2 linked regions of the Saccharomyces cerevisiae S288C genome follow. The gene in region 2 interacts genetically with the main gene of each other region. Each region holds a gene or a part of one and is shown on either strand. Other genes may lie near its edges.

The links. A genetic interaction does not mean that the proteins touch.
Region 1: mutations in ACA1 (region 2) and HAL5 together harm fitness more than expected from each alone (negative genetic interaction), as found in Saccharomyces cerevisiae (3 studies listed by BioGRID).

What each region holds. Positions count from the first base shown.
Region 1 is NC_001142.9:106,394-113,396, forward strand, and holds HAL5 (protein kinase HAL5), read right to left. Parts: upstream 3,069-7,003; coding exon 501-3,068; downstream 1-500. Other genes in the region: QCR8 (ubiquinol--cytochrome-c reductase subunit 8), read left to right, coding at 41-325; cAMP-dependent protein kinase catalytic subunit TPK1, read right to left, coding at 3,573-4,766; YJL163C (uncharacterized protein), read right to left, coding at 5,273-6,940.
Region 2 is NC_001137.3:237,189-245,086, forward strand, and holds ACA1 (Aca1p), read right to left. Parts: upstream 4,314-7,898; coding exon 2,844-4,313; downstream 1-2,843. Other genes in the region: ERG28 (Erg28p), read right to left, coding at 382-828; MEI4 (Mei4p), read right to left, coding at 1,272-2,435, 2,524-2,586; SPO73 (Spo73p), read left to right, coding at 5,992-6,423; putative AAA family ATPase SAP1, read right to left, coding at 6,622-7,898. UniProt on the Saccharomyces cerevisiae protein: Transcriptional activator of promoters containing ATF/CREB sites. Can independently stimulate transcription through ATF/CREB sites. Important for a variety of biological functions including growth on non-optimal carbon sources.

The DNA of each region.
Region 1 (7,003 bases), on a different chromosome or scaffold from region 2:
CAAATAATCAACAAAACACTACACAAAAACTTCTACGATAATGGGTCCTCCAAGCGGTAAAACTTACATGGGATGGTGGGGTCACATGGGTGGTCCAAAGCAAAAAGGTATAACCTCATATGCTGTGTCTCCATATGCTCAAAAGCCATTACAAGGTATTTTCCATAACGCTGTATTCAATAGTTTTAGAAGATTTAAGTCTCAATTTCTATATGTATTAATACCTGCGGGAATTTATTGGTACTGGTGGAAGAACGGTAACGAGTATAATGAATTTCTGTACAGCAAAGCTGGTAGAGAAGAGCTGGAAAGAGTTAATGTTTAATATTGTTTCCATGCCTCTACATTACATCGATCTTTTGATCTTCTAAAAACTTACATATATATTCTGTTTATAAAACAAGAGCAAATAACCCCCATATATTTATTCAGTCAGTCTATTTATTTACTTACAGTATCAGTAATAATAAATACTTAAGCATTTTTTGTTTTGTATATCTTTATTTACTAACCTTGGTATGTAAGTGTCTATAAACTACACAGCATTTTGTTTTCCTCATCCAGGAGCTTTGTAGTAATTGTTCAATGGTGATTCTCTTCGTGGGGTCGACCTGGAACGTTCTATATAGTGCAATTTTCCTCAACCTATTCAGTTCGCTACTAACATGTCTTAATTCCTCAAATAGATAAAACTGTCCATCATCTTTAATTTCACTGAGAAATGATTTAAAAAGAGAATCCTTTTCAGGAATGGCGATTTTCCAAAGATACTGTCCCATGACCATTGTACAGTAAACAATACCACAACTCCAACAATCTACCAGACGCGGATCGTATTCTGCATCCCTTATAAATTCTTCAGGTGCCACATATGGCTCTGAACCCATGGCTCCACTCTGGAAGTGGACGTGTTTCTCCCAGGCAGTCTGAAAAACTGAACTAGTACCAAAATCACAAATTTTTAACAACCCATTAGGTTGGAAAAGGATATTTTCGGGTTTCAAATCACAGTGTGCTATACCATGATCATGCATGTATTGAACACCATTCAAAAGCTGTTTCATAAAACAGTCTGCTTCTAATGGGTGCAACGGACTCCCAGAACCTTCTTTAACAGTTTGGATCAATCTTGAACTCCCGTTATTCGATTCATTTGAGATGTTATTCCTTGTTAGCAACGAATATAAATCACCTGAAGCACAAAATTCCATCACTTCTACGAAGGAATTGCTATATTCCATTAGGTCCAAAATTTTCAAAATGTTTGGGGCATTGAAGACATGTTTTGGTGGAGTGGTTCTTGAAACATTTCCTGCTATCATCGCATTTGCCTCAAAATGCGGATGGCTCAGTGAGTGTCCAATAATGAACTCAGAGGTTAATCTCGTGCAAAATTTATCAATTTGGTCACCTGGCTTGGGCTTCAGCTCTTTGACGGCAAAGAATAGTTTTTTTCCATTAGAGTAGGTACTGTATGGTAGGACATCTTTAGCAGTCTTGCACCTTGCGCAAATTTTGACCACCCCGTATGCACCTGCACCGACGACCCCAATAGATTTTCCGTATTTTTGTGAACAAGGTTTATGAGATGTATCGTCATTGGTTGTTCCTGCCTTGCCCTCTGTGTCATCAGAATCCTCCTGTTTATTGCTATTGCTTCTGCCTTCGCCATTGTTGCCTTTTGTATTTTCACTTTTAAGGCCCTTTCGTATTTTTTCCGATAATGCATTGATTAGCTTCAACTCTTCAACACCTACAGCAGCGTTAGGATTCACGATTTGCGGAATATTTTTACCATCGTTTTTCATCAATTCATCATTATTGCCATTTTTAAGGTTACTCGTTCTCGATTTCTTTAAAGTCTGCGATTTGATGAATCTCTGGGATGGTATTATTGAAAATGCTTTTTCTAGATTGATTTGTTCGCCGTTTTCTTCTTGTTGCTGCTGTTGCTGCTGTTGTTGGTTTCCATCCTTATGAGATTTGAATAATCCACTTAAAGAAAACACAGATTTTTGTTTATGCATATTTGCCTCACTGTCATTGTCACCATCATCGCCGCTGTTTACAGAAGCGTCAGCATCCTTTTCATCGCCACTATCCACATTTTTATTGTTTGTAATAATTGGCAGCACTCTCAAAGAATGTTCGTGGTATCCGTTTTCAAAGACTTTGAAATGACCTAAATCCAAAATACATTTACATTCGATTTCTTGAAATTTCGGTAAGCTGGAAGCACTGATAGAGTCTGAGTGATTTCTTCCCCTCATGTATATTCTATTTCCTGTACCATTACCAACATTGTTGGTGGCATTTGAATTCATTCCACCATTTCCATTTTTCATTGGTGGTGACCTTGGTGTGGACAAACTGTTCTTCCTACTTCTTGTGCGATTGCTATGATTACGTACGCCCAGACTGTTTCTCCTTCTAAGTTTTGATTCTTCGTCATAATCAAGCATAGCATCAATAGAAAAGTTATTTTCCTGATCCAAAACATGGTTGGCATTACTATTTGCAGGGTTTGAAGAACCTGCGTTTTGTGGGAAGTTTTTCAGCCGTTCCCTTGGTTGTCTTTCAACCTCATCGCTACCAACTGTATAGCGGTGATGAGGCACATAAGCTTCCTTGGAACGTACATGTTTTGCACGAGCTTTCTCTTCCTTTTTATTTTGAAGATCCTCTCTCTCTAACAAATTGGCTTCATCTTCATCTTTTTCACTTATGAAAGATTCTTGTGAAAACATTTCATTTTCTGAATTCAAAGATGGTTCCCTACTAGGTGACAACGAGAGTTTTGCAATATTAGGGACGCCCAGTTTGTGATGCTTAGGAGCCGCTTGTAGAACAGGGCTATGTACGGGGGATATAGACGGGGAAGATACGTTGCTAGTTATTATTCTTGCTGTTTGATGAGAATGTGCTTGGTCCTGACCGGGACGAGATGAAGGAGCCGCAGCATTATTACTGCCTGATATCCCTGAAGGCTTAAATAGACCCTTAATGGATTCGGAGAGCGATCTGGCCCTCTTCAAAGATGTGTGGCGTGAAAGCTTCTCATCTCCCATTGTTTTTATTTTTTCAAAATTTTTTTTTTATTTAGCAAGTTTCTCTATCTCCTTTGTATTCTAAAAGTAAATGGATGGAAAGAATGGATCTTTTCGTAGACTATAATGCTTCCTAAAATATACACGTATAGAATGGAGATTCCGACTTGTTTGGAGCCACCAATTGCCCTTTATTTGGTTTATACCAAGGGGCTCACGTAAAAAAAAAATCGATATGCAAAATCCTTCATTTCATGATGCAAGCTTTCGAAAGTGGCGCGGCGAGCAAAGTAGAAAATCAAAGACAGAAGCGTAGAATAAAAGCCCTTTTAATGGTAGGAATACGCCTCGATAACATCATGTATGCAATCTACAAGAACAGTGAACGCCGTTCCATCTCCGTAGTAACTATACAGGGGTTGAAATTTCGTTTTCGAAGGATAGTTGTTATGTAGAAAAGAGGGAAAAAAATATGAAAAAAAAAAAATATAGATACGAGAGGAAAATACAACAAAACATTAGTCATTAGAAGTCCCGGAAAAGATCAGCATATGGGTCTTCACCTTGAACACCGTAGTTGATGTCTTCTTCCGGGTACTTATCGAACTGTGAGGTGTCACCTTGTCCCTGTTGAATGGGCGGTTCATACGGCGTTTCTATGTTTCTAGATAATAATTTTTCCCAGACAACTTCTTTGAACCAGGGGTGGTTTTTGACATCTTCTGTACCATTTTGTAAATTACCTAGTCTTTGACTTAAGTCTCTTGTGATCAATCTACTCAACAGGTCCTTTACATCTTCGTTGAAAAATGGTGGAAATCTCAATTCGGCATTCAAGATTTTCTCATAGGTTTTCATCGTGTTAGAGTCGTAAAATGGCGTGTATCCTGCTAGCATTTCGTAAATCAGAATACCGAAACTCCACCAATCGATAGATTTATTATATGGTTTAGTACTAACGACCTCGGGTGCTATGTAGTCGGGAGTACCGCATAATGTATATGTGACGTCAGGAACGTATTTGGCAAACCCGAAATCTGTTATCTTTATATGCCCGTTTTTATCAAGCAAGATATTTTCCGGTTTCAAATCCCTATAAATAATGTCCTTGCTATGCAAGTACTCCAAAGCTAAACAAACTTCCGCTGCGTAAAATTTAGCAACTGGGTTGGGAAATCTTTGGGATTTCCTTAACAAAGAAAACAATTCTCCACCTTCAATATAATCCATAATCATGAAAATTTGCTGAGCATCTTGGAAAGTCCCCCACATTCTAATAATAAACGGATGTGTTACGATAGAAAGCATCAATCGCTCGTCGTTGGTATGCTCCACCTGTTTCAATCTTACCACGATTTCCTTTTTCAAAACTTTCATGGCGTAGTATCTGCCATTATGTCTTGATCTAATCAAATGGACCCTACCAAAAGAACCCGTACCCAGTGTCCTTAATATCTGAAAGTCTTGTAAACTATACTTCCCACTTGTAACTCTCGCTTGGGCAATAAACTGTTTATACTGCTCCTCATTGTAATAAGTGACATGTGGCTGCTTCGGTTTTTCTTGGGTTTCTCCACCCTCTTTTTCTACAGACTTACTTTCGTTACCGCTCTCTGTGGCTGTTGTTTCCCTTTCACTAGTCTCACCTTTTTGTGATTCCTCACCTTGTCTATCATCTAGAGACTTTTGACCACCTCCATTTTGTTCTTCAGTCGACATACCCAAAAAAAAGATTCTTTCACACAATCAGCTATAATTCATGCACTGCTTAAGCTAAGAGAACACTACTTTCTGTGCTACCTTTGAAGCCGATTGAAAATGCAAGCAAGCCAAACAAAAAAAAAAGTATAGGGTCAGATTCCTTAGCTTTATCAAATTAAAACTCTTAGATGGATACAATCGCAGCTTCTATGATGTTTCGCACCTAAAAATTCTCACGTTTTTCTGGCCAGAGATAGTAGATGAATATTTTTCAAGTTTTCAAGTAAAGGGATACGATATCCCCCTTGATTATTATGTCAAACTTTTACCAGATCCCGCCTTCCCTCCCCCCTAATAGCGCGAAAAAAAAGATCATCATGATTACGTAGAAAAAACCACAACAACACTATGTTGAATCATGTCATAAGCAAAGTCGTTAGGACACTGGCTTTGCAAGAACGAATAGCAGCACAGCTTCGAACAAGTAACTAAAAATATGTGGTGTATACGGTATGTAAATGTTTTTAAGGCCCGTCCAGCGGAGGGTTCTTGTAAATTCTTAGGAAGAATGTCAACAAGATGGCAACAATACTTGTTGAGAACGGTATATACATAAACAGACTAGGATTAACGGAGACAGTACTTCCATATAGCTTAAGGAGGATGGGAGGGATGACAAGCATAACACAGGACCTTACCAAAGCCATTGCTCCGAACATCTCGCCTGTATGTTTCTTAGAGGTGTACTTTATGATACCAGACTGCAAAGTTGGTGAACAAAACGCGCTCAATGCCTGTAAAAGAGCGAATATTATCATGGATGTGGGAGTTTTCTCGCCAAATCGTATCATGACAAAGAGACTCAGTGTTATAACAATCATAGAAAACTGTATGCAAAAGATGTCTATCTTGTCTATCGAATGGTTCAAGTGTTGATAAATCCTCTTTAGCGTGTACAGTAATGTAGGTGATACGACCAGTAACACAACACCTCTTCCGATACCCAGTATCGATATGAAATAACCTAGCTCTACTGCATGCCATTTGTACTCATATGTAGAAAACAAAATCAATGCTGGCATACACGATGTCGTTCCACAGACAAATAGTATATCGAGTACAATGAGTAATATTACGGTATGCCGGGGTACTAAAGACCCTGCACTGTCGGGCTTCAGCCATAACTTTTTTACTGGAGCGAGCAGGTCCATTAACCTCATTATTTGAAATTTTCCATAAGTAACGGATTGGTAATTTCTTGCATCGTCAGAACCCGATTGTGATCTTAGTTTCTCTCTCCTCTTTGTATAAGTTGATTGTGAATGGGCCATTTGGGTTTCATGGCGCGGTTCCACCATGATTGTCTCACATATTATAAGCGCCAGTATAACAAACGCTATTGATGTGTAAATAGGAATGAACCCGTTTCCATGAGTCCACTTCACCAGAAAGGACCCAAACATTGGGCCTACGCCCATAGTGGCATATATACAACTCATCATTATTCCTATTGTCACCATTCTGTGCTCAGTTTTCACTATATCTGAAACGTAACTATTTCCATTCGCCACTAGCGCAAACAAGCCACCGAATGATGGTACGATACACGCAGTAAGAACAATAGCCCATTTGTGATACTTCATTTTCGATGATAGGGTAAAGACGTGCGTAAGAAGCCCTATGACCCTGATGCCGCTCATGTATTTGAAAACACGCACTCTTCCTATTCTATCGGATAATTCTCCCCACTTACCAGCCATGAAAATACTGATTGCCCCTGCTATCATCATAGTGGATGAAGAAATGCTGGAAACTATTGTCTGTACAGCCACGGAATCATAATGTCCATTCTCATCTGAAATTCCTTCCGCTACCTTGTCCATCACCAACGGTATTGTAGCAGTCATAGAAATAGACTCCGCAATACAGATAATCATAACAAGGCCGTAAAGGCATAATAGTTTTCTACGTCCATGCTCTCCCTCAACGCTTTTGGCAACACTCAAAATACTGGGGGAGCGCCGGATAGAGTCATAGCTACTGTCCTGAGCTGTTTCATTAGTATCCAAATTTATTCCAGTACTGTCATTTTGACTAATGATTTCTTCCAAGGCGTTGATCCCAGCCGTTTCCAATAAATAGTCCATCTCATCTGAAGACATTAAACGAGTTGTTTCATCCTCGTTTGACATTGTTCTGCGCCTTTGCTTCGCACGGTTTGAAGATGTATACGTGAAATGCAAGAACTAGGGTTT
Region 2 (7,898 bases):
AATAGGAATGGAATCATGGAGTTAATAAACCACGTTACTAAATAAGAGATTGGAAAATCTAAAATACGGCTTCGAGGTCGTTTAATTTTCTTTTTCCTCTGAAAATTTTCTTTCTTTTTCGGCCTTAGCCTGTGAAAATTTCGGCCGAAAAAAAAGCCAACGAGATCACGTGCACAGAAATATCTGCGTTAGAGGAGAGAGGTAGGGATACTTACAGAAATGAAGCCAAATTGGCAGCTTTTTGAGAAATAATCATGAATGATAAACAATTGCTGTTAAATAATGTACGGAAGGTTTGGATAAAGGTTGCTATAGGCATTATATAAATAAATCATCTCTATATAATTTTTTTTACAGGATATGCTTGCCCTTACATCAGAATTACCAAGCAACACCAGTGTAGTATTCTCTTTGTTTGTACATCCAAACCAAAGAGGTGGTTGAGACAACCAATGGACCCATGAATCCCTTTCCCAACTTACAAGTTCTAAAGATCAATAATTCAGAGCCGAAGTGGAATAGGGCAACCATATAAGACATGAAGACCAATTCGAAAATGTGTGGTTCATTCAAGTACATAGCCCCATAGAATCTGATAACACAGGAAATAAAGGTCCAAGTACCGAAAGTTCTTGCACTCAAATGGGTTGTTTCAGTGGGTTTTCTTTCGTAGACTTTACGTGTCAATTCTAAACCAGAAACGTAAGTCTGGATAGAATTGAAGACTGATACAATGGAAATGAAAAGTAACCATTTTGGTAAGTAACCTTTTGGCATTGCTGCCAAGGTGGTCTTGGTTGTAGTTATTACGTCTTGTAGGCTGAACATTATCTGATACTTTAGTGTATTTGAATCCTTCGATACTATGGTCTAGCTAGTGTCAAGAATATAAAAACCTGAAATTAGTCAATGCGTTTACGTCAAAAATAGTAGCAATAGTAAAGCAAAACAACAGGCTTGTTCAGCTTAGTTTTATATACGGGGGTAGAGAATACAATGGATCGTACCTTTTTTTTTGTTTCCTGTTCGTTCCGTCCCCGAACGAAAAAATCATAAAATAGAAGTTTCCTATCGGTAATACCGTAAAGTTTAATTCAGTTCGTATAAGATTAGGTTAATCATGGGCAAGTCCGGAAGAAGCGTTTTAATGTAGGTCTGTTGGGGAAGATGTTGTGTTCACTGTAATTTTCAACTGAAGTTGTTGTCCCCGAAATGAAAGAGCTTTCGATATTTTTGTGTTTTATAATGCGCCTCCTACTGCAAAAGAAAAATTAAATGTTTTCTGTCTCATTGAACCATCTTGACAATCGAAAGCGCGCTATCAAATTTCTTTCGGCAGTAATTAATAAGGCCGCCTGTATATATTTCCTTTTCTTCTGAAGCGATATTTCATGAGCCGGAAATTTTTCCAGGAAAGGTTTTAAGTGCTGCCATTCAATGCTTTCAAATGTCTCGAGCAATGATAGAATAACTATCTTGAGTATTTTCAATAGACCCCCTAACTCTTTTTCTGGGACACCGCTTATTACACTGTAAAAGTTCTTTAAGTAGGTTTTCTTCAAACTCAATTCTCTTTCGAGGTATACTCGACAGTACGCCTTTTTCCGGTTGATGCATATTAGTTTATGCTTCGATACAAATCTAATAAGTACATGTATCAGACTTTCGATGATGATAAGTATGTGTTCAATTAATTTCAGAACAGATACGTATTTTAATATCTGCGGTTCAAATGTTTGGTTTGTCTTGATTTTGATGAGTTGAATGTTAATAATAGAGTAAATAAGGGTAAAATGCAACGAACACAAGCGCTTGTAGTCAACTTTATCACATAAATGTTTGCCATCTCCCTGGTCGTAAAAGTTTTGAAGCCATTTTGGATCGTTTTGGTTCTTCTTCAATAAAATTCTATTAAACAGAAACTTGGCGATGAAATTGAAAACATGAACGTCTATCAGTGTCCTCTTAAAAGAAGAATCAGAATCTATGCGATGCGAATAATGAGAAACTAACAAGATTTGGAGTGTTTGAAACACTTGCGATAACCCTCTAAAGTCAATTTCTTTTGTTTTTAAGCTCAGGATTTTTAGCAGAATTTTATATCTCGGTAAAAACCAGTTGTTTATATCAGCAGTTGATACATCTTTGCTAAATGATTGCAGCTCCTTTAAACCAACTGCATCTTCGAAGCTTTTGTACTTATTCTGGCAAAGGAAATTGTATATAGGTTCCAGATGAGCAAACAGTGATTTATTATTCAAAAATCCATTTTCGAAAGGCGCAACCCATTTGTATATATGTTTTGAGTTTTCCCGAGGATTTATTTTTAAATTTTTTTCACTCTTGAGAGCACCTACATCTTCGACATCTCCTTTCTTTCTTGAAAGTGCCCTCTTCCACAACGTAGGATTCCTGGATTGAATTAAAGCAAAACACTGTCATAGATAATATTCGAGGAGATTACACCTCTTACTAAAAGTTAGTAAAGAGAAAATAGGTTAAGGATGTGACAATTTCACGTACGATTATCCAGTCAACTTCCGATGTTTCCTTTTGTTCCATATCTTCCAGTTTGCCTCTACTCATGTCCTTACTCTTCTAAAAGATTATTTAATGAAACTGTTTCACAACTACAAGATGTTTGTTATGTTTTCTTTTACAAGTCGGAAACATTTAGCCGCCCAGCAATATATATGACTCCGAAAGAAAATGAAAGGAAATACATACATAGTAAAATAAATCGTTTAAACATAAATAATCGTACAGAGGAAAACATTAAGGAAGGAGAGTCAAACTAATGTACTGGGAATTTGGATCTCCCATAAGAAGTATGCGCAATACTTTTATTCATCATATAGACTGGAGCTGCGTATCATTTCTTCAATCATTTTCAGAAACCCGTTAACATCACTATCCTTGTTTTGAAGGCTTTGATAACTATTATTACCACCATTAATTGTGCATTCTTGCATGTGCAACCTCGAAATTTTCTTCATTTTTTGAACCAATTTTTCGTAATTTTCAATTTTTTTCTTCATCATTGTGTTTTCTTTGCTTATTTGGTCAAATTCCCTTTGAAGTTGTAATTGTGACATTTTCTTTCTCTGTCGACACTTGGAAGCGGCAATTCTGTTTCGTTCTAGTAGCCTTGCACGCTTCCAAGCTTTAGCACCGTCTTTCAAGCCTGCAGTATTGTTCTCTATTTTTTGGGGTCTAGCTTCCTGCTTTATTTGGAAGGTTGCTGTAGTGTGCATAGAGGAGAAGGGCGCGGTATGTACGTCTTTCTCACTATTAATATTGTTTTTCAGTGCAGAAGTGGCATCCTTGTATTGTGGTTTTGAGTTGGCATGTGTTAAATTGACATCAGGGCATTTCGATTCGTATGGAAGGCTGCTTGAAATATTCAACTCGGCATTTTGGCAGGAATTATTAACAGTGTGGTGATTAACGCCATGGGAAATTGAAGAATGGACGGATTGATTTTCGATATTATGATCATTAATGTTTTGGCAGGAAGAAGAAGAGGAAACGGAAGAATTAGAGGCTGGAGTACATGGATGCACATTCAATTGAGCGTTTTTCCATGCCTTAGTTTGCATTTGAGCTTGTAATCGGAGTTGCATGTTGATGTAAGCCTGATTCATTGTGGAATCGCCAGATGGGATAGAAGGCGTGGCAGAAGGAATGTCACAAGTGGCTGCTACTGCGGGTATGTTAAGCTTTATATTGCTATCATACGGGGTCATTGCAGCGTAGATATTCTTGCTACCTGTTTGAGGTGCAGCTTCGGGTATGACTGTAGCTTGTTCGTGTGGTTGTGGCACGTTTTGCAATTCGTTCGAGCTAAAGCTTGGGTATATGGCTGCGCTTGGATTTGCCACCTGTTGAGGATTGGGATTCTGTTGCGCCTTAGACGATAGGATCGGAGGCTGACAGTTGTAAAGATTTTCAACCGTTTCTAAGTCTTCGCCTAATTGACTAATCTGACCATTGGAGATAGATATGCGTCTTTTGTACACGGGCTGATCAAACGCTGGTAAAGAACTTTGAAAAATGGGAGGGTTGGTAATGGGAAGATGGCTGATGTCGACGCCAAAGGGTTGAAACATTGGACCCAGGTTTTCTTGCACGCTACGGTCATGCAAACTGTTTTGGTGATGAAAATTGTAGGCAGAATCCACAAGACCAGGACCCGATGGTTGTTTGTATATAAGCTCCTTGTTTGAAGATAGAAAATCTGTATATAAGAGTGGGTTCTGCCTTCCATCTAGGAAAGAATCTGGACTTGTAGCAAAATTATGCTTATAGTCCATACTTTATTTGGTTCCTTAGTCGTTACCTGGTGTTATTCCAGTACTATTAATATAACTCAGTACAATTAGCTGCCGTGAAAAAAAAAAAATAATAAGAATACAGTTTCTGCGCTTTTAGTCGGTAAGCACTCAGATTGAGAGATCTAGATTTACTATATTTTAATAATAACCAGTTAAAGCAGATTTTGAAGATGAACTAACATAAAAAAAATTGATGAATTATGTAACATAATCTTCTGTACCACCAGGGTAAATCGCCAAAGAATATCTGCATCTAAGAACAAAAGAAAATGGTGCCCTAAATATCTTTCAGATGAAAAACTAATTATATATCACTACTAAAAAAAGCCAGAAAAAGAAAAAAAGTAAAATAGAAAATAGAAAATAGAAAATAGAAAAATAGAAATTAAAATTAAGAGCATTTTAAAATTAAGTCTACAAAGTAATACTTGGCATATTGCTTAACTCCTCACGCAGAGCCTTAGCGTACCACTATTTTATCTGATACCACAAAAAGCTGCGCTTTGATGGCCCAACGGGGATATAATCGCGCCACTGCTACTCATGTGCTGCAAACTAACAGTGCCAGCAGAAGCGAGCATTGAAAAACTAAACTTTGCCTTGTTCTGCTTACTTCATGCAGAGGTACAGCTTCGATGTCCTAAGGTTGAACATCATCTTGCTTCGATTTCGGTAGTAATCATTTTGCCTGCACGCCATTGTATGAATCTCGTGCCACTCCCTTTTTAACTCCGAGATACAACTTTCCGTGGGGAAAAGTACCGTAGTATTGTAATTTCGAGAGCATCTTTACGGTAATTGCCCCTCCACACCCAGACGTTACACAACCCTTAGTAAACAGCTGCGGAAAAAAAGTGTGCCTACGCACTGTACGACTCCTGATTGATTCCTTCATTAGCACTGACTGGCTTACGGTGCACATAAGTTATTAAGAGCAGTTTAATTCAGTTGCTGAATAGTCACGTTGATGAGCACGAATACCTGAAACACCAACGGTAATGAATCAATTGGCCTAGCGCATCGTTGTGTGCTTGGGTGTGCCGCACAATGGCAACCAAATACTGCTCGTTCCTGCACTTCGAAAGAAAAGCAGCCAAAAGAAAACGCGTTTTCCTTTGCGAGCGCTGGTTTGTTCCTCAGTTTGATAGAGGCGTTCAATTGGCAATTTGGGCACTAACACCGATGATAACAAGATATCTTGACTTTGACCTCTGATATTGAGGCGTTCCAACCAATAAGAGGGGCTGACGGTTGAAAATAAGGGTAAAAGAGAGCTATTCGGGTTGGGTCGCAGATTAACTTAGAAAACATGTACATGCAAATGTTGTTTTTTACGTACAGAAAGAGGCTGATGGAACCAAAGGAAGCAATAATTTGCACCTTGATATTTTGCGCTTTCTGCTTTTGAAACCTTATTATATGCCTTTACATATACTGTCACGCGACATTTTCACCTTCTACAGTGTTTAATGAAAATCTGGCTTGTGTGCATTATCTTTTTTGTGAAAGTTTATCTCCGCTTAAACAAAGCGATTGAATCTTGTCTACGTAATTGGGCTCGTGGGACCAAAAGGCTACTATTTTCCAGGAAATTGAAGACTTTGCAATCGTAACAAGGTTTCTTTCATCGTTAAAATACAATCATACATAGAGATATATGGGCAAAAACCATTTCTTGAAGGATTTCTCTGCTTTACCGGAGGACGTACTCATAGAAAACGAGAGAGGCATAACTTTACTTGGTTACCCACTATTTTCTCCCAAGATTTTACTGCCTCACGTTGACCCACCACAATTTCAAAGACTAAACACTGAAAATGGCTCGTTAATTGCCCTGTCGAAAAATACTATATCGAACTTCATAGAACTGTATCCTATCGATCTGAGTACTGAACGCACTGCAGGCAGTAGCAGTTCACAGATGACAAAGTGGTTCGTACTGATGGATTACAAGGAAAAGTACGATATTGACGATCAAGGATGGTGTTATAGCTGGAATTTCAATAACTCTAGGTGGAAATCGAAAAATGGCTTGGTGAGAAGAAGGGTCTGGGTAAGACTACCTACGACCAGTCATGGATTAGATTAGTAATAGTTTACGCTAATATTAAATTGTTTAACAAACTAAGTAGTCAAAAAAAAGAAAAAAAAAAAAAAAAAAAAGAAAAGGTGACATTATGCAGAACATATTTTATCGATCCGCTTATGTGCACACAGTTTGTCCAGCTAGGCTAGAATATTATTTATTATTACCATTATTATTATATTATTATTATTATTATCATCATCATGAACCTGATGATCCGAATTGTGAAGCCCACTTTTCGTACTTCACTAATCCGTCCTGGGATACAGAGGGCTTGATATACACTAAACTGTTCTTAAAATCCACAAGGCCTATGGGTCTTATCATCTCCCTCTCTGTTTCTAATAACTTATCACCCAGATCTCGTAGTGGGCCCATGGCAGCATCCTTCGCTAAAGACGTTATATCACTTCCTGAATAGCCCTCAGTAATCTTTACCAGTTCATCAAAATCTGATTCGGTTAACGTGTGCTTTTGATGGGAAAGAAGCTTCTTAAATTGAACGTGTCTGGTCTGGTCCTCTGGTAATGGGATATATTGTCTTCTCACAAATCTTCTCCTTGCAGCCTCATCAATAGACCATGGTAAGTTTGTCGCGGCAAGTACCAGTACCCTTGTATCATCTTCGTCGCCATTGGTGTCAGAATTGTTAGTGTTACTTTTGTTTGAACCAGCCGCTGCGCTGGACAAGGATGACCACTGAACAAGAAATTCATTCTTTATCCTTCGGCTTGACTCATTTTCATTTTCGTTATTCCTACTACCCATGATAGAGTCAATTTCATCAACAAATATTATAGAAGGTGACAATTTTTTGGCAATTGCAAATAGTGCCCTCACTAATTTTTCACTTTCACCCAAGTATTTAGATGTCAAACTGGAAGCACTAATAGAGAAAAAGGTGGAGTGCGACTCTGTAGCTACAGCTCTCGCTAGCATTGTTTTACCTGTACCTGGTGGTCCAAATAAGAGCATCCCCCTGACTGGTTCACGTAACCCCCTGAATAAGTCTGGTCTCAAAAACGGATAGACAACTGCTTCCTTCAAAGAATATTTTGCACTTTCTAAACCAGCAATATCATCCCAATGAACTTCATCTCCGTGCACTACGATTTCGGCAAAAATTTGCTTTGCAGCTTGCCTATCTACACCTTGTAAACTATCAATAATTTCATCTTCTAAAATCTCCCTCAGGACTTTCTTGTCTATTTCAGGCTCTTCTCTTTGCTCATTTAGGGAAGTGGCATGTTCAGTGGCATCTTCTGTTCCAACATCTTCTATTTTTGGAGAACCGATTTTTTTTTGTGCTGGTATTTTTCGATTCGTTTTACTCATAGACGTGGTTTGATTTTTCGATGGCTTCTTATTCTGGGATGCACCATGCGAGTATGGTTTTGAGTTACTTACAGGTCTGGAAGGATGGCTACTCGTTTTCTTCGAACTGGAATTTGGGACTTTCGCCGTTTTGGATTTCAAAA